Linked DNA regions of Rhinolophus ferrumequinum. The protein of the gene in region 1 interacts with the protein of each later gene in a biochemical or structural test. Links are inferred from orthologs where the notes say so. Each region holds a gene or a part of one and is shown on either strand. Other genes may lie near its edges.

The links.
Region 2: the proteins of SYTL4 (region 1) and RAB27A form a complex in vitro, tested with the Homo sapiens proteins (2 studies listed by BioGRID). The link is inferred for Rhinolophus ferrumequinum from reciprocal best matches to the Homo sapiens genes SYTL4 and RAB27A.

What each region holds. Positions count from the first base shown.
Region 1 is NC_046284.1:53,720,793-53,730,980, reverse strand, and holds the start of SYTL4 (synaptotagmin-like protein 4), read right to left. Parts: upstream 4,495-10,188; 5' UTR 4,372-4,494; intron 4,007-4,371; exon of another isoform or gene 3,848-4,006; intron 1-3,847. UniProt on the Homo sapiens protein: Modulates exocytosis of dense-core granules and secretion of hormones in the pancreas and the pituitary. Interacts with vesicles containing negatively charged phospholipids in a Ca(2+)-independent manner.
Region 2 is NC_046289.1:53,408,000-53,418,308, reverse strand, and holds the start of RAB27A (ras-related protein Rab-27A), read right to left. Parts: upstream 4,092-10,309; 5' UTR 3,694-4,091; intron 1-3,693. UniProt on the Homo sapiens protein: Small GTPase which cycles between active GTP-bound and inactive GDP-bound states. In its active state, binds to a variety of effector proteins to regulate homeostasis of late endocytic pathway, including endosomal positioning, maturation and secretion.

The DNA.
Region 1 (10,188 bases):
ATGAGAAGATACTCAGCCTCACCAGTAATCAGAAAAATGCAAGTTAAATCAGTTAGATATTATTTTTCACCTATCTGATTGGCAAAAATTAAAAAAGACTCACTCTCATGGTGACAATATAAACCCTCTTAGATGTCACTTTGGCAGCACCTACTCACATTTTCAAATGTACATATCCTTTGACCCAACTATTTCTCTACTAGAAAGCTAACTCACAGAAATATTTGCGTGCATATGTGTCTTACATCTTATATTTATCCACCCTTCAGCGTTGTGCAAACTGTTTATTGCAGCTTTGTGGTGGTTTGGACTAGGGCAATAGGCAGAGGAGATGGAGACATGTGGCAGAATATATACACTTGGAAGTTCAGGTCAACAGGACTTGCTGATGACCTGGATGTTGGTGGGCTGAGAGAAATAGAGGAATCAAGGGTGACCCTAGGTTCTTAATTTGAGCAATTGAATGGATGCTAGTGCCATGTTACTGAGAGGAAGCTGAGGGAAGGGGCTGGGGATGTGAGAGGAATCAGGAGTACTGTTTTGGCCACATTACATTTGAGATGTCTACTTGACATCCAAGTAGAGATGCTGAATAGGCCAGCAGACATATGAGGCTGCAGCTTAAAAGAAGGCTTGGGTCAGAGACATACACCTGGGGGTGATGAGTGTATAGATAGATGGTATTTAAAGCCATGGGGCTGGATGAGTGTTTGTGGGAAGATTTTGGATGGACAAATGTTCATGGACTGAGCCCTGAGATCCAATGTTCAGAGGTTAGCGAAATAAATTTAGTAGAAGAGGATGCTGAGCAGAAGTTTTTTGTACAAATTTGAGCTTCAAAGTTTACATCAAATGGTGAAGAATCACATATTTTATACCATATCAAGGGTCCGACTCCTTCCAAGCCCGTCTTTTAAGGGATTCTAGCCCTTTTTTTCTTTCTGAATATTTCAAAACACATTTAAACAGATCAGTACTTTGTTTTCTTTTATGTTACCTAGTGGTTTCAAGCACTACACAAGTAGCACTCAGCAATGTCTTTTCCATAAAGTTAATAATCCAATAGCTATCTCATGCCTAAAAGGCTAAGGGTGACTTTAGGCCAGAAGCTTTATTTGTGGCATCTTTTATTCTTTTAGGCTGTTCACTTCCCTGTTGCACAGTAACTTACTCCAGCTTCTTACTGAGCTCACCAAATGCCTAAAATGTATCCAGACATCTGACAATCCACACCCCTCCCTCAGTGCAGCCTCTCTTCGTAGCCACAAGAAGCATAGCATCTTTACATTTCCACTTCAAACTTCAGAAGTTTCCATCCAGAGCCTCATGCCTTAAAGGGAGAGAGAGAGGAAGCACTTCCAACTAGATCAAAGTTGTCATCAGTAATGCAATCTGAAAGCAAAACTCAGTGGAAGGAAAACAGTGAGAACTAGGCCCAGGGCAGCCTAACACTGTAGGGTGACAGACAGGGGACACTTAGTTTCAGTTCCAGGAGAGCCCAAAAAAGTGCCAGTTCCTAGAACAGTAATGTCATTCATTAATTCATTGAACAAACGTTGGTAAGTACCTATGTCCCAGGCCCTGTTATAGGTGCTGGGGTCCACTAGTGAATAAAACAGACAGAAAGCCCTGCCCACGTGGAACTTACATTGTGGAGGGGGGAGAGAGACAGACAATAAGAAAGAAAAATGAATAAAATATGCAATATGTTACATTAGAGTAATAAGGTAGGGAAGGGGCACATAGAATATTCCGGGAAGGGTTTCAAGTTTAAACAAGATGATTAGGGAAGGCCTCACTGAGGTGACATTTAAACACAAACTCCTAGTTGTCAGATTTCAAGCGCCTCAAAAAAGGTATCTTTTGTACTTCAATCCCACCATCACCAGACCTCAGGCCCTTGAAGGCATGGGACCCCCGGTTCTTAGCACAAATGTTTGTTGATTTTTCACGCTTAAGACAAAGGGAGCTCCAAGATCCAGACCTTGACCTTAAAGTGGTTAACCTTCCAGGTGGAAAAACAACTAAGAGAGGTGTTAAGGGCTTTCCTGAGGTATAAACAAAGAGCTTTTGGACACAGGATAACTGGTAATTCTGCATAGGGGAAGGAATTGTATTCAGAAAGGCTGTCCCAAAGGAGGTGACTTTAGAGTAAATTTTGAGATAAATAGGAATTAATGGCAGGGAGTGGGTATGGGTGGCAAGTTATCTTTTCAGGGGGAAAAAAAGAGCAGTTTGAGCAAAGGCCCAGTGATCGGATCAGGGAAGACATTTTTCTCCTGGACTGTCCCTGCCTCAGATATGCCATCCATCCCAGGATAAAATAAGCAAACACTTCCCCTCAGGCTCTCTGGCTTGACTGTTGGGAAATCCTTATCGCATACCACATCCTCATTTCTCCCCTAGCAAGCAGGAAAGGAAGAAGTTGAGTCAGTCACACATCCCTAGAATCCAGTTACCCTCTCTTAACTTCAGGACAATGACTACTGAGCTAAGAGCCCTGGAAGTTTCATTCAGACAGGTACACTCAGGGGTGTGTACCTAGAGTGGCAATGTGGCAACTGGCCCCCTGCTGGAAGTGAAGTGGTGAAGTGGGCAAGATACCAGTGAGGTAAATGGTCCAAAGTCTCCTCAGTGCATCCAGGGTAGAGTCAAGGACCAAAACTTATACTTTGGCGTGGAAGGGAAATTTTTAATCACTTAGTCCTCACTCGTGAGCTATTTAGTGTTCCTAACATCCAAGGCAGCAGAGACGGTATGACAGGGGATAGGAACAGAGCTGTGCATTAAGATGACCCAGCTCTGTCCCTCATCTGTTGGGTGATTTGGAGCAAGGCACTTAACCTCTCAGTCTCCTTTTCATCATAACACAATTATAATTGTAGCGCCTACTTCATAGAGTTATCATGAGGATTATATGAGATAATTATGTCAAGAACTTATCACAGCGCCTGGCTCAGTGGATTCTAACAACCATTATTAATAGCAGCCTTTAAGGGGAAAACTCAGAGAGTATCAACCAGAATGCTACATACACTCACAGACCAGTCATCCCTGAACAGGCCTCCATTTCACTGTTCAGACTTAGAGTGAGGCCCCTGAAATTGTGTTACCAGAAATGTTTGCCTCCTGCCAGGATAAGTCTCACAAGCCAAGTTGGTGGTCCCTTTCTACTAGGATTTCCAGCAGGTGCTAAAAACAAAAAACAAAAACAAACCAAAAAAAAAAAAACACAACAAAAAACTTTCTCAGAGTCTCAACTCTTTGCATTAGACATTATTCTCTCCACAAACCAGTGGGTAAACACATTAGGTCATTAATACCTTAATATTAATGGATTTATGAGGGGTGGTGTCCGGGAGCTGAAAAAGCAGAAAAGCCAGTTTAAAATAGGAGGTCCAGGATGTACTGAAGACTAATGTCTGCCACAGATGTTCAAGCTCTAGGGTCAACCCTGCCAAAAGCTGTATTCTGGAGCGCTAGGTCCTCTGGTCCTGAAGAAGTAGGGTACTGGGGGAGGAAAAGGTTAGTTAATGAGAAACAGATCAGTTGTTCAAGCCACCAGAATTCTAACCAAATGATTTCACCACCAAAACTAACCATTTCATTCAACGTTAAGGGCTGGAGACGTTCATAAGCCCCTTTATAAACCAAAACAGAAGATAGAAGTGTTCTGGGCCCCTTCTGAGGGCTCTGAGGACTCTCCTCCAGGAGCAAAGCCTGCTTGAAAAGTGGCAAGATAAAGCAGTTCAACTCTGGAGCACACAGCCGGGTCCCCCGCCCCAAGTGCAGAAGAAGCCCACCGAGGCAGGACTAGGGCCAACCAGCCAGCCAGCAGCCTTTTTACCTGTGGCGGGCCGCCTGAGGTCCGTAAGGAGTACGGGGACAATACCACGCGCAATGGCCGGGCACTGCCAGAGGAACCGGCGAAAAGGTGACTCGACGCCTCGGAGGGCGCAGTTCCCGCTAGGAGCTCCGGCCCCACCCCTGCCCCCCGGGCCGGCTCTCCGGAATTGCCTCAGCTCCGGCAGGCGGGAAAAGCCGGCCACGCCGCTCGAGGCGTGACAGGGAACACAGAGAGGCACAGCCTTCGTTAGCGATCAGTGGGCCTGGGAAGGCGCTCGGGAGAAAGCAAACTGGCGGGGAGGGACTGTCCCCGGGGAGTCAAGCAGACTGGAGTCGAGGCGTGGGCAGGAGGGCTATCCAGGGAGGCAGAAAGGGGACAGGAAAGAGTGGGAGGGCGGAAGGGGTTAGGGAAGGACGCAGGGCCCTGAGATGGGGGTGGGGGCGCTTAGGCAGAGACAAGGGGCTGGGGGCCAGGCAGGAGTCCCCGACCGACGGCGAAGGGGCGGCCTCTGGCCGCGAACCTACCTGTCAGGTGCAACAGGTGCCACGAGAGAGGCTAGAAGTCCCAGCACCGGATTCAGGGCAGGGTCTATGGCTCTGGGAAGACCGCAACCCCACTCCGGCAGTGGCCGGTCCTTCTCACCCTCCCGGGAGGCGGAAAAAGCTGCAACTTTCCCTGGAGCGGGGAGGAGCTGGACTCTTAAAGGGGCCGCACAGCGCTCCAGGCTCCTGAGTAGGGGACGGTGCCACTACAAGAGGAGCTCTGGGAACCAAAGCCTTAAGGCACTGGAGGGATGCCCTCCAGGATTATGAAAGGGAGCTTGAGGATTAAGGATAAGGGTCTAAGACTAGACCTGACCCCCTTTTTATTTCCATCTGTGGTCACTCTCTCAGATGATAAATCACAAACCTCTTCACTCAGCTGAGCCAAAAGTTGTCAAACGGTCGTGTACTTTTAGGGAGAAGAAGACTGTAGACCATATACTTTGGTAAGATAAAACATGATACCATTCTGATTCTTCGACTTTCAGCCTTTTGTGGCAAAGAAAAGTGTCTAAAATAGAAACGTTTTGGGCAAATAGCATAAGACTAAATTCACACACATGGACACAAGTGGGTAAAACATTCAACTCACTATTTAATCAAAGAGTAAATTAGAACAATAATGAGGTTCCTTGGCAAAGTTTTTTGTTTGTTTGTTTTTATAACAATGATGACAAAGTGGCCACCAGATAAGTTATCTTATAATTGCTGGAAGGAGTGTATTTTGGTTAAAAATCCTTTGACAAAGCATGTGAGTAATATATATCAATTAGACTCTAAAATGTTTATATCTACCCAGTAATTGTAAGTTCCTCTCCCATTCTCTTCCTCCCTCTCTCTCTCTCCCTCTCTTCTTTTCATCACCCATTAACAATGCTCAAGTCCCTCTCACCTGTCATCAGCAAATAAACATGCTCAAGTCTCCGCCATCTTAAAAAAAAAAATCCTCTTTACACACCAAATACCTCTCCAGCTCCTCTTTATGAACAAATTTATTCCAAATATACTTTAGAGGTACATTTGTAATCTCCACTCCCTTAATTTTCACTCAACAATTTGACTTTCTTCCTCAACACTCCACTGAGACTGTGCTCAACAAGATACCCAGCTAATGACCTCCGTGTCAATAAATAAATAAATAAACAAACAAACAAACAAATAAGACATTTTTAGTCCTTATCTTGCTTGACCTCTTCTCTACATTTAATGCTGTTAACCATTTCCTCCTCCTTGAAAGTCTTCCTGTGGCATCTATGACACCATACTCTTCTGCTTTTCCTCCTACCCTTTTGCCCTCTCCTCAGTTCCTTTGTACATTCCACTCTGCTATCTAACTTCTGAAAGACAGACATTCTCAGGGCTAGGCTACATATACTCTCTTCCTAAGTGATCTCTTTCACTCACTTGGCTTTAATTATCATCTGTATGGCCACACCTGTAATTTTATAGCTTATCCAGATATCTCCACTGAGCTCTGCTCTCTTGACATCTCCACTTGGATGTCTTGCAGGCCCTTCAAACTCAACACATCTGAAGCTGAACCCACCATCTTTTCTCTTAAATTTGCTCCTTCTCCATTGTTTCCTGTATCAGTATAAAAAACCCAAGGCAGAAAGTGGGCACCTAGAGTATCATGTTTCCCTGAAAATAAGACCTAACTGGAAAATAAGCCCTAGCACGATTTTTCAGGATGTTCATAATATAATATAAGCCTTACCATATTTCCCTGAAAATAAGACCGGGTCTTATATTAATTTTTCCTCCAAAAGACTCATTAGGGCTTATTTTATATTACGAGCATCCATAAAAATCATGCTAGGGCTTATTTTCAGATTAGGTCTTATTTTTCAGGGAAACATGGTAGTACCTGGCACATAGTAGGCCCTCGCTAATATTTGTATAATAAATGAATGAATGAATGTGTCCTAAAGAAACACAAACTTTTTGTACAATGATGTTAACTGCAGTATTACTTAGAATAATCAAATACTAGGGGCAAAACCTAATGGTTCAATGGTTAAGTAAATTAGAGTTATACGATGGAATATTATATAGCCAGTAAAATTGACAAGTAGTCTTCCCTTATCCATGGGGGATACATTCCAAGACCCCCAGTGGATACCTGAAAACACACTGAACACTATACATACTATGCTTTTTCCCTTTACATACAAGCCTTTTCACTTAAAGGAAGCACTTTATGGCTTTTCTTTGGTATATTTGAATTGTCAGCATCACTACACTTGCACTTTGGGGCCATTATTAAGTATAATGTGTTATTTGAACACTGCACTGCAATACTGTGACAGTTGATATGATAACCTAGACAGCCAAAAATTAATAATGAGCAGGTATCATATACAATGTGGATACACTGATCAAAAGGGATGATTCCCATCCCCGGTGGGATGGAGCAGAACGGCACGAGATTTTATCACACTACTCAGAATGGTACAAACTTTAAAACTTACGAATTGTCTATTTCTGGTATTTTCCATTTAAAATTTTCAGATCACAGTTGACCATGAGTAACTGAAACCGTGGAAAGCAAAACCACGTAGCAGGGGACTACTGTAGCAGGTAGCAGGGGACTACTGTATTTACACGTAGCTCATAATGACAAGAAATACGTATGTGTAATATTAACTGAAAGTAGGATACAGTATTTAATATACATATGATCACAACAATTAATGGAAATCGGAGGATATGCATGAACAAAAGGCTAGAAAGAAATATGCAAACTATCAATAGTGGCTGTCTCTAGGTGGTATAACTAAATGAACTTTTCATTTTCATCCTAATTTTCTGTATTTTTCAACTTTCTTATAATAGTGGGTATAGCTTTGATAATATAAAACATCTTTTTTGAAAATCTTTAATAGGGAAGGAAAAAATCATTTTAATTCTAGCAGACAAAACAGTAAAATTCAGCTCCCAGGCTCTACCCAGAGTTTTCTGCCATTCTGGAATCCTTAAATACACCACCCACAGCCTTAAGTGCAAAGAAGACTCTTCAAAAAGGAAACCCTTTTGTTCTGTCTAGCGTTGCTAACTCCATCCTCAGGGCCTCTCTGCCTCAGCTCTGGGCTTTGAATGTGTTCATCTCCCTAACCTGGCCTGTGGGAACTCAGAACAAGCACTTCTCTGCTTCTTCTTTGCAGGTGGTGCTTGGCAGGAGCTGGAAATACCCTCAGCTAGAAGGGACTTCAGAAAACATATAGTCCAATCTTCTTATTCCACAGCAAAATTTCCAGATATTATTTTAAGTTTTTCCTTCTTTATGCATGTGTGGTTTCTCACTCTCCAAGGTCCACCTCATTAAAGAGGATGTGTGAGGATCTGACTCCTATCACAGTTTCACTAAACCATCTGAAAATACACAGAGACAAACATAAGCAATGAACCAAAACCAAGTTAGTCAATGGCCTGTTTACACAGATTCCATGCTTCGCAATCTGCTGTCCATTATCTGTTTGATCCTCTTTGTTTGTCGCAAGGATTCTGTGCTCAAATTCTTATGCCAAATATTGTGAGCGCTCCAATGCAAGCAAACCCAGGCACTATCCTGTGCAACAATGTAAATAGGAACTTATGGATTATTATCTTATGTATGGTATGTAAACTCCTGTCCCATAGTGAATGATCGGATATGATGAGTTGTTTCAATTTACCACATTGAAGTAGTTCTGGATAGTGCAAACTAATAAGATACTCCATTGTTTGTTTTTTTCCTCAGCCCCAGGTGATGGGATGCCTCAGCATTGAGCAATTGCTCTTTTTAAATATTTTGAAAATGCATAAATATATAGACAACAGTACGACAAAGAGAATATGCTCACAACCCAGCTTAAGAAATAAAGCATTATGCAGATTGGTGCAGCTGCTATGGAAGACAGTTTGGAGGTTCCTCAAAAAGTTAAGAATAGAATTACCATATGACCCAACAATCCCTCTCCTGGGTATATACCAAAAAATTCTGAAAACATTTATCCATAAACATATGTGTGCTCCTATGTTCAGTGCAACTTTATTCACAGTGGCCAAGACATGGAAATAACCAAAGTGCCCTTTGATAGATGAATGGATAAAGAAGATGTGATATATATATAATGGAGTACGATTCTGCCATAAGAAAATATGAAATAGTACCATTTGCGACAACATGGATGGATCTTGAGATTATTATGCTAAGTGAAATGAGACAGACAGAAAATGTCGAGAACCATATGCCTTTGCTGATGTGGGATATAAAACTGAAAGCAACAAAGGAGCAAATCAAACACATGAAGAAACAAAAACTCAGACATAGACAATAGTTTAATGGTTACCAGAGGTTAAGGGGGAGGGGGTGGTAGAAGAGGGTAAATGGAGTCAAATATATGGTGATGGAAAGAGAACTGACTCTGGGTGGTGAACACACAATGTGATATATAGATGATGTATTACAGAATTGTACACTTGAAACCTATGTAATTTTACTAACCATTGTCACCCCAATAAATTGTAATCAAAATTTATATATATATATATATATATATATATATATATATATATATATATATATATATATATATAATTTAGCAAGGGAAAAAAAGAGATTTACATTCAAACTAAAATTCCACCCATCTTCGCATCTCTTCAATAAACTTCTAAACACGCCAAAAAAAAAAAAAGACAGAAAGAAAGAAAGCATTACCACTACAATCAGAGCCCTCTGTATACACCTCCATCCCAAGGTTTTCACTATACCAGATTTGATCTTGATCATTTCCATGTGTGTCTTTATACAGTTACTACATATGTGTCTATCCCTAAACAATATGTAGTACTTTACAGAAATAGTGTCACTCTGCATGTACTATCTGCAATTTGCTTTCCTCACTCAACATTATGCTTATGAGATTTATCCCTGTTGATAGACGTAGCTCTAATTCATTCATTTTCATTGCTATAGAGCATTCCAGGCATAACTATATTGTAATTTATGTGTTCTCTTATTGATCAGGTACTCTTCTATTGCCAAAGTCTTAATTCCAGATGCCAGGACACTCCCTCTTCATTTCTTGCTAGATAATAAAAATAAAAACTTTTGCAAAAACAAACAAACGAAAAAAGAAGTCTTCTTGACCAAGCATATTTAGTTCACTAGTGGTCTACAACGAGTATGGGGTGTAAAAAGTAGATTCAGTCTCTTATTCAGTCAAGATCAGAGTTTCTCCACCTCCGCACTACTGACATTTTGGACTGAATAATGTTTTGTTGTGAGGGGCTATCCTGTGCATTGTAGGATGTAGATGCCAATCGTGACAACCCAAAATGTCTCCAGCTATTGCCAAATGTCTTCAGTTGAGAACCACTGGTTAAGGTTTACTAGGCACCCATTACACGTGAAGCACTTTAGTAGGTGCTATGGGAAGAAAGAAGATGAATAAACACTAAAAAAATAGTTCTTTCACTCACAGAGGTATGTATTGACATCTACTATGTGGAAAGTATACTGGGCTAGGCACTGGGATTTTGGTGACTGAACATTTCTTCGAGGTGTTCACAATTTATTGCATGGGGTTGGAGGGAAGCAGACAAGCCAAAAACACAAATTTGTAATACAGTGTGGAAAGTGCAAAGCTGGGAAGATGTGCAGGATATGTGGAAGCACCTAGCAAGGCCACTTTCACCAGTGTGGTCAGTGAAGGGTTCCTGGAAAAGTGGTATCTTCTCTGAATCTTAAAGGATTAGAAGGAATTAGCTAGACCAAAAAGGCATTCCAGGCAGAAGAATAGCATAAGCAAGAACAAA
Region 2 (10,309 bases), on another chromosome or scaffold:
TCGCACTTCAAACATGAAAGCCCTGTTTTGTTTTTCAGGAAGTATCAAACTTATCATAATTTATTAGAAAAATTATATATATATATATATATCTTATATAGTATATATAAAAATAATTTTTTTTCATATTTTGCAGTGAAGACATAAATAGGAAACATTCCAAGATAAGCAAGATAAGTTTAAGTAACAATGGAAGGCAAAATTTAATTTTTAAAATAACATGGAAGATTAATCACCATACACTAGAAGCCAATTAATTCAATTCTGTCTGGGAAAGGGCAGCAGGAAGCTCCACTCAACCGTAGCCAATATTGCTCTATCAGCAGTAGCAGGATACGGTGGACTAAAACAGGTACTTGCAGCTGTTGGCTAAGAAAAATTAAACGTATAGAGCAGAAGTTTCCAAAGATGAAAATAAATCCACGTTTATTCATTAACTTATTGGTACACTCAGCAAGAGTTCATTGAACACTTCTTTTGTCTAAGCTACCTTGCAGTATAAGACTCAAACATCAGCTGAAGTCCTGCTTTGTCTCCAGGATATTACGATCTAGTCGTGGAAATAAGGACAAACACATAAATAGCTGACAGCCTAAAGTAGTCGTGTAATTAAATGTCAAAATGAGTCTCCAGGTTGGCAATTTCAGTTAGATGGCAGAGAAAAATGAATTTACTACAGTATAAAGTATTCATCAAGAAGGAAATTTAAAATGAAAAAAAAATGAATTTCCATTTTCTTGAATTTCAAAGGAATTTCACTCTCTCCCTAGATCCATCTAAGAAGCTAAATCACTGGAGACAGGTGCTAAATGGCCCCAACCAAGCTATCCAGGCTACAGAGAAGAGGGTTTCCCACTGCCGCTGTGGCAAGGCCAGAGCCCTCACCTTTCTACTTATTTGATCTTTCCCTTTCCAAGGAGGGTAAGGGCATTATCTTAGAGAAAATAAGAGGATAGAAAAATAGAGACTTAGATGTTAATATAATTGTAGACATTGCTTATCTTAAAGTGGGAAGGAACAGTGAGAAATAGCAAAGTGATCTCCATTTCTCAGTCTCTCGTTCCCTTTTCAATCATTCATCACATTTTTTTGAGTACTTCCTATGAGCCAGAAACCATTCTAAATGTATGCAGACCATAGTGAACAAGAAAAATTCCTGACCTTTATGGAGCTTGTATTCTACCAATGGGAAAGAAATACTGTGTGTGTGTGTGTGTGTGTGTGTGTGTGAGAGAGAGAGAGAGAGAGAGAGAGAGAAAGAGAGAGAGAGAGAGGACAGTTAGTATTAAAGATACCCTAAAGAAAAATAAGGCAAGGTAAGGGAGCAGAAAATGATGGAGGGGTGAGAGATGCTACTTTAGATGGGATGGTTCAAGAAGGCCTCTCTACAGAAATGGATTTGACCTGAATGAAACGAGTAAGAAAGCCATGCAGACATCTGTAGGAAGCACATTCCAGGCAGAGGAAACAGCAAGTGCAAAGGTCCTGAGTTGTGGCTGTCTGAAGCACAGTAGGTAAAGGAGAGCGTAATAGAAAATGAAGTTACATACCATGTAATGGGTTTGTAGCCCATGATGAGACTTTGTTTTTCTCCTGAGATAAAAAGCCATCGGAGAGTTTTGAGCAGAGTAATTAATGACTCTGGCTGCGGTGGTGAGAACAGACTGTAGAATGGTAAGGACGGAAGCAGAGTGGCCTTGTAGGGGGCCTTTGCAGTAATCCAGGTGACAGAAATGATAGGAACTTGGTAGTAGCAGTGGAACTGGTGAGAAACGGTTATTATAGTAGATATACTCTCAAAGTAGAACCAGTGAGATTTGCTGAGGGACTAGATGTGGGAACAAGAGAAAGAAGAGAAGCAGGGGTGACTCCAGGGTGTTTAGCCTGGAAGAATGGCGTTGCCATTATAACCGATAATGGGAAGACTAAGAAAAATGTAGGTTTAGGAGGAAAAAAATCAAGAGTCTGATTCCTAGAAATTGTTTCCCACTCTAGAACACTTACACATGTTCTAAAACCAAGGCAACAGAAATTGAGAAGAAACTGAGAAATTGAGAATCCTAAATTTCATATGGAAATTCAAGGGATCCAGAATAGCCAGAACAATCTTGAAAAAGAAGAACAAAGTAGGAGGACTCACACTTCTTGATTTTAAAACGTAATGCTACAGTAATTAAGATAGTATGGTGCTAACATAAGGATAGACATAGATCAATGGAGTAGAATTGAAAGTCCAGAAGTATACCCTTGCACTTACATTCAAATGATTCTCAACACAAGTGCCAAGATCATGCAAAGGAAAATAGACTTTTCGACAAGTAGTGCTGGGAGAACTGGATATCCACATGCAAAAAAATGAAGTTGGACCCCCCTACCTCATACCATATACAAAAATTAACTTAAAATGAATTAAAGATTGAAATGTAAAAGCTAAAACTATAAAACTCTTAGAAGAAAACATAGATATAAATCTTTATGACTTTGAATTTGGCAATGCTTTCTTAGATTTGACACCAGAAGCACAAGCAACAAAAGAAAAAATAAATAATTATACATCACTAAAATTAAATATCAAAGCAGGCCATGGAAATTAAGGAAGGGAAGGAAGGAAGGGAGGAAGGAAGAAAAGAAGGAAGGAAGGAAATGAAAAGCAACATAAAATACAGAAAAAAATGGTCCTCAGTCAAGTTCTTTCAGCATTATATCAACCTTCCTTCATTTCCAACTCTCTGCAGAAAACCCTGTTTTCCAGACTGTGTTTTCCCCCAAAGCAAATTTTAAAAAAGGGGGGGGGTGGAAGGGGAGGTGGATAGGAACAGTGAAGGACCAACAAGTTAAATCAGTGATAATTACAGAAAACTTATACGGCCCTGCCAACATCTGAATGATGAGCCAACCATAAAGTGAGAATCCATTCAGTAGGAAAAAACAGCTGTTAGCCCACAGTGGGAAGGAGGAGAACCCTGTGGCAGAAGATTCGGAGGCCGTGTGGCCAGAAGGAACCACGGGCTGGGAAGGCAAGAGTCAAGGGCTCACAGATTCCCTTCACTTCTGCCTGACCTTGCTTAATTGGTGATCTATTGAGACACAGAGACAAGCCTTTGGCAATAGCTGCGGAAACCTGTCATCACATCAGCAGTACCACCAGTGCCAGAGGGCCTGGCTGCCAGGTAAGGCTTTCGGTCTGACCGTCAGAAGAAAGGGGAACCCTCTCGCTTCCAGCCAGTTTGCAATCCAGACCCTGACCATCAAAGGTGTAAAGACATTCAAGAATTCAACTGAAAACGACAAGAGGGAGGAAAGAACTACAGGGCAGCGCTGGAGGCATGGGACCTTCCTCCTCTCCTGCTAGTGAAGTTTCCTCCCCCACTGACGGGGACTCTCGCCTGGATGCCACGCAGAGGTGACCTCAGACCCCGTCCCCACCTGGGACTACACCTCATCAGCACCTCGCCCAAGCTGAACCCCATCCCCGGACATTGTCGTTGTCGGGTCTGTGCTGTGCGATGGCCACTCGGGGCCTGAGAGAAGCAACGCAACTTTTCTGGCCGGCTCAGCCTCCCAGAGGTGGGCAGAGGAGCCGCAGCCCCGAGTTCAGCCCCAGGGCCGGATTTGCGGCTCGCAAGCTACCCTGCTCAGCCCTCCCGCCTGAAGCGTAACCTGGAGGGCGCAGCCCGCAGCCGCCCGCCTCACCTGGCTGGGCCCGCTGTCCCCGCCGTCCCCACGCCGTTCTGCCTCTGCGCGCGCCGCTGCCACCCGCTACTGGCCTTTTTTGGGTCCTTGGCGGGTATTTTCCGTCTGGCCCCACATCACTTCCCGTAAAGGAGAGCGAGGTGGGGGCGGGACCTCCTCTCCACCCTCCACCTCCCGCTTCCTCCTGTCACCTCCAGGAGCACCCCCGCCCGAGTCGGTGCGGGCACCTCCTTGCGCGCGGATCCCGGTACCGCAGCACCTGCTGACGGGTCCTCGGAGCCCCGGAAAGGTCCCGCTCGCCTACTTTGGCCCAAGCCAGGTCTCCACTGCACTTTCCTGGAAGACGCAAAACCTTAGGGGGTTGTTTTCGTTTTGAGACACGGGGATGACATTTACAAACTACTTCAGGCTCGACGTACGGTTTGGTGACTTTCGCCAAATCTCCTTCTCCAAAAGCTATTTTCTAAAGGTGTTTTCCAGGGTATGATCGGTGTCTCCACCTTGTAGCCAGAGGTGCTGAGTAGCTGCAAAGTTGTTCCGGGGGTTCCTGAGGCCCGGGGGGCGGGGGTCGGGGGGTGTTCCTCGGGGGCCCGGCTCAGCCCCGCGTGTCCCGCTCTGCGGTTGTCCATCCCGCCCCGACTTCTCCTCACTCAGGTCGGCCTGGACTTGGCCTTCCTGGGACGAGGGAAAGTTCTGACATTCTTGGAAATGGCAGGGGAGAAATAAATAATTTCTGGAAAGAAATGACTAACGGGGTCTCTGGTCGTACAGTCTTATTAGGATTAAAAAATCACGCAAAATTAAATTTCTAAGAGAGCAATTGATTTTTAAAACAAAAGCAAAGTACAGTAAGGCGACATCTGCGAGCCTTTGCTGCCACCCAGTGGCTTCCTTGTCTCAGCACCCGCGGGTTTGTGTGTGGGTCGGCTTGTGAAGCAGGTTCGGGCCACCAGGTTCCCACTCAGAGGCAGCGAAATTTCTCCTCCAATGGTGTGGAGTCTGAACAGTGGTCTTGGACCTGCCTCTGGGGGATGTCAGGCAAAGCACTTCTGAACCAAATAAGTTCACTTCTAAACAGAGCAAAATGATTGGTATCTCTAGACCAGCTTCTCTTATCATCTGGTCCATCTCACTGAAATGCCTCTACTTGCACCCCAAATTCCAGCTCTCCCAGGCCGACCTGCCCACCCCATCATCCTTCCAGTCTGTAACCACTCACAGTTGGCATTACAGTACAATTAGCTTCTCAGATATGTGTCTAATTTATAGAACAACAATATGAAATTGCCAAATATTGAATATACATTCAATCTAATATTTCCATGCAAATACACAACAGTGATCTCAGAGTTAGGGATAACAGATTTCACCATAGGGTGATGATTTTGAGGGATGTTCCCCAGGTGAGTGAAGGACCCCCAGATTGTTGATGATGGAGGTTAAAACAGGAGAAGTAGCCCTGTGTTCATGTATAGAGAAACAGTCGTAAGATATACCAACTGCTAATGACTGATGCCACCATACTGGGAGAGGGCCCACAGCCCTCCCCACCGCTGCATGCCGTCAGGGCTGTCACCAGGAGTTTGCTGGGCAGGAGATCAGAAAACAGACAGTGGTGCTGTGGCCCATTCAATGAGTCAAGCACTGTTAGGTACTGCAGATGTGACAATGGACAAAGTAAACTGGTTTCTGATCTCAGGGAGTTTGAAAGAGAACAAATAAGCAGTTAACTTCAGGGCAATGAGATAAAATCCCCGATAAGGGAAGTTAAAGGGTGTCAATGGAACACACAGAGCAATGGTACCAAATCAAGACTTCCCAGAGAAAATGATGTACGAAGCAAGAAGGATAAAGAAGGTGGGAACGTGAGAGAGAAGGGAATCTAGTAAAAAAAGAGCAGAGGAAGGGCCTGGAGGCAAAAGAGATATTGGAGCAACTGAAAGAAGTTCAGCAAAGCTGAAAAACTGAGAAGGAAGCAATCAGAAAAATAAAGAAAACTGGAGAAGTAAGCAGAGGCTGGATTATGAAGAACCTAGAATGATTATAATGAAAATAGCTAACATTTATTGACCATTTACTATGAATCACACTATATGCTGAGAATTTTACATGTATTACCTCATCTACTTCTCACAATTGCCTTATGAAATAAGTACTATTCTTATCCCCATATTACAGATGAGAGAACTGAGCCTTAAAGTGATTAAGCAACCTGACCAAGATCACAGCTAATAATTACCACAGCAAGGACTAGAACTTAGAACCCATTTTCTTAATGGCTATAAAGCTAAGAATGGATTTGAGAGGTCAACTCAAATATCCAGAATAGGTAAATCCATAGAGACAGAAAGTAAACTCATTGCTAGGCACTGGGGAACATGGAGTCGCTGCTTACTGCACATAAGAGTTTTCTTTTGGGTGATAAAAATGTCAATGGAACTCGATAAAGGTAATAGTTTCACGACATTGTGAATGTAATAAATGCCACGGAATTGTACAATTTAAAATGGTTAAGTGTTTTTTTTTGTTTGTTTGTTTTTTAAGGAGGCCGCAGCTCACAGTGGCCCATACAGGGATTGAACCAGCAACCTTGGTGTTATTAGCACCACGCTGTAACCAACTGAGCTAACAAGCCACCAATGGTTAATTCTTTTGTTATGTGAATTTTGTTTCTATTTTTTAAAAATAACTAATACTCCTTGATTCATAGGTTGGTCTAGGAGAGAGAAAAGGATGAGCTGGAAAGTAAGTGTGTTCAAAGAATGACATGTATTTGTTGAAAGGACATAGGAACCATCCTAGGGGAGGACGGTTCCTCAGCTAAAGACTTGCTTATTTTAATTAGGACTGAAGATATTCTTCTTAAGCTACATTGTTAACAAAACTATTTTTCAAAAATGCCCACTGTGGTGGACATTGTGAATGTCAAAGTATATTATTCCTCGTTGTAAGCTTTTTTAAGAAGTCTTGTTTTATACTTGTTAAACTGAACACGATTTTCAGATAATATTTAAACATTACTTTTTGTATCTGAAATAAATATTTAAAAAAAGAAAAAAGAACACAGTAGCCAGCTGGGGCTGCCACTAGCCAAATCTGGGACAATTTAAACATCAAAATAAATTGTGATAGTCAGGGCTGACTTCATGGTCATGCAATCTGTATGTTACACAGGGCCCTGCAATCAGAATTTTAATGCTCTGCAGCTACAGTTATGAAAGTCTTAATTTTACTTTTTTTTTTGTAACCAAAACTTTAATCCCAAGGATTCTCACAAAACATATTACAAATGACAGCATGAAAAAAAATTTTGCACAGTAACTCAAAGTTCAGCTCTACAATGTACCCTTAAACTGGCATGACACTGGTATCTTGGATAGTCTCAAATTTCCAAATGAAGAATGTTACAAAGAGCTATGTATTCATATACTGCAATCACAGAAGAAACTTATGACCTAAAGGCAAGGTAAACTAACTTTCTTGAAACTTCTTTGATTCTACACCAACTGGACAACCTCTGCCCAGTGTGAAGACTAGTTGGACTTTTTTTTTAACCTCTAAATCTAGTTGTAATGACGCAGCTTTAATTTTTACCTGGCTTGTGCTCACAGCAGCTTTTGAAGACTGTATGTTCAACTGCAGCTGCATATTATATCCCAGCTCTGGAAGATCTTAGGTTCAATTTTTGCCAGTTTCCGTAATATTAAACATCACACTTTAGATGGGCAGGAGAGGTTTATTATCTATCAGTCTCTGCAAGACTAAAAAGTTAAAAGCAAATTCGATTTTGCTTAAGGGAACATTGTAAAGTAACAATTCTTGATATTACATGCCTCATATGATTCATTTCAAACCATAGAGAATTACATTTTTATGTGTCACTGTTCCAAGATAAACAAATGTGAACAGCTAAAACATCTTAAAAATGCACCAAGCTTATGAAGTCTCAAACAAAACTTGAATTTTCTGTACATACTCCTGTCAAATGAAGTCATTTCCTGTACACCACTCCTCTTGCAAACTGGTCTTCTGTTTCCTCTCATTTGACCTAGATCGGCTAGGAGACCTAGAGAAGGATCGGGACGGCTTGTGATTTCTCTCCCGAGACAGTGATCTCTCTCTTCTCCTATCTCTAGAAAGGGACCTGCTCCGACTGCGGGAGAAGCTTCTCCGTCTTGGAGATCTGCGGCGAGGTGGAGGACTCCTTCTCCGATAATCATCTCGAGGGCGACGACCCCACGAGGGAGGTGGACCACGATTTCGACTTCTCTTTTCACCATTCGACAGTTCCACTCTTACTCGGCAGCCACATAATGGTCTCCCATCTAGCTCTCGGACAGCATCGGCTGCATCTCGGGGATCTTCAAATTCAACAAAAGCAAAGCCGGGAGGGTTTCTAGCAACCCACACACTTCAGAGTGGTCCATAATAGCCAAAAGCTCGTTCCAATTCAGTCTTGTTACCGTTGTTTCCAAGATTACCTACATAAACTTTACAATCCAATGGACAGGAATCACGATGCATTTCGAAATCTTGGGTTAGAAATACGGAGGCTCAAATCCACACACCCACGGACGGCTCTTCCGTTCCCCTCCGCCCAGCTTCACAAGCACTCTCACAGATCCGGCGTCCACGAAATGGCCTTAATTTTACTTTTAAATTTGTGTTTTGTAAGTGAAATCTGATGGCACAGTGGAGCTCGCTGGGGGTTTGGAGCCCCTGCTCACACCTGACTGACTCCCGCCGTTGCCCACTCCTCACCCCTGGTCCCTTGGGCCTTGCAGTCACTGCCTTGCTCCAAAGCACTGACCAGGTCACCGTGGCTGCGGGAGGCCCACATTCCACCATCACCTTCCACCCAGGCAGGAGCCTGGGCAGGAGGGCTCAGGGCTGGGCCTATGTCCCACGGCACCACGGGTGGGCAGGAAGACAGGTCTGCCCTAGTCTGGCATGCTCCATGTGCTACTCATCAGGGACCTCCTTCCACCACCACCCAGGAATCAAGAATGTACTGGATGGAGGTTGCACTCTCTCGGGGGTGCCCATTTGCCATGGGTTGGAGCGGTGGGCCCATGATGAGACTAACTTCCTTGCCCCCACACAGGGTCCTGCATTTTGATTTTGCCCTGGGCCCCACAAATCATGTGGTCATCCCTGGTGATAGTAATAGATTGTAACATTTGGAATAAAATAGGAATTTGTAACTCATACTGACAAATAATTTCTGCAATAGGAACCTGAATCTATCTAATCATGAGAAAGCATTATACAAACCCAAATTAAGGAGCATTTTTATAAAACAATAGACCAGTATTCTTAAAAAATGTCAACGTTGTTTTTTCCACCATCTTGGGGCCATATGGAGCTTAGTGGAACTCTTGCTGGTGAACTTTGGGGGCCTGCTGGGAACAGGACTTCTAAAATGACAAATGTGTCTGGAAGGCTGTGGTCCAAAGCCATTTTTGCTGGTTATAAGCGGGTCTCCGGAACCAGAGAGAGCACACATCTCTTCTTAAAACTGAAGGTGTTTATGCTCGAGATGAAACTGAATTCTATCTAGGCAAGAGATGTGCTTATGTGTACAAGGCAAAGAACAACACCGTGACTCCTGGTGGCAAACCAAACAAAACCAGAGTAATCTGGGGAAAGGGAACTTGCGCTCATGGAAACAGTGGCATGGTTCATGCCAAATTCCAAAGCAACCTTCCTGATAAGCCCATAGGACACAGCATCCGTGTAATGCTGTACCCCTCCAGGATTTAAACTTACTGAAAAGTAAATAAAGTGGATTTGTTCTCATTAAAAAAAAAAAAAAGTCAAGGTCATGAAAGGCAATGACTGAGGAACTGCTCCAGCATAAATGAAACCAGAGACATGACAACTAAATTCAAGTATGATCTTGGATTAGTTTTCAGACCAGAAAAGAAACTGTCTTTTGCTCTAAAGCATATTTAATGGGACTTGTTAGAATTTGGATAAAATCTAAGATTAGATAATAATATCAATCTTAACTTTCTGATCTTGATCATCATAATGTAATTATGAAAGAATATCCTTGTTTTGGGGACTTTCACACTGAACTATTTAGGGGTAAAGGGCATCATGTGGGCAACTTATTCTCAATGGGTTTAGAAAAATAATGCGTGTGTCTGTGTATATACAGACCATGGAAAGAGGAAAGAGATTAAAGCAAATGTGGTAAAATGTTAACATTTGTAGAATCTGGATAGCAGGTACATGAAAAAAATTTAAATTATTTTTGCACTTTTTCTCTGTTCAAAATTAATTCAAGATAATATTTTTAACAAACATTTAAAAGTTTCTTCAAAAAATGCCACAGGATCAAATCTAGTGGCCCACTTGAAAATCTATCATTGTCTTAGCTTTCCCTCTCTTTTACTCCCCGTCCTGCCTTCCTGATCTTGGGGCTGGAATGGATTTGTAACTGGAGAAATTTGTAATTTGAGACGGGAGAAACCACCCCCTGACCATTACCTGGAAAGCCCTGATAATATTCCTTTAACTGAGGCACTGGTGAGGATAAATGCACCGGTGAGGCCACAGACACCTTCGAAAAGCTCTATGGTGGTTGTCCTTTATAGGCTGAAATTGACAG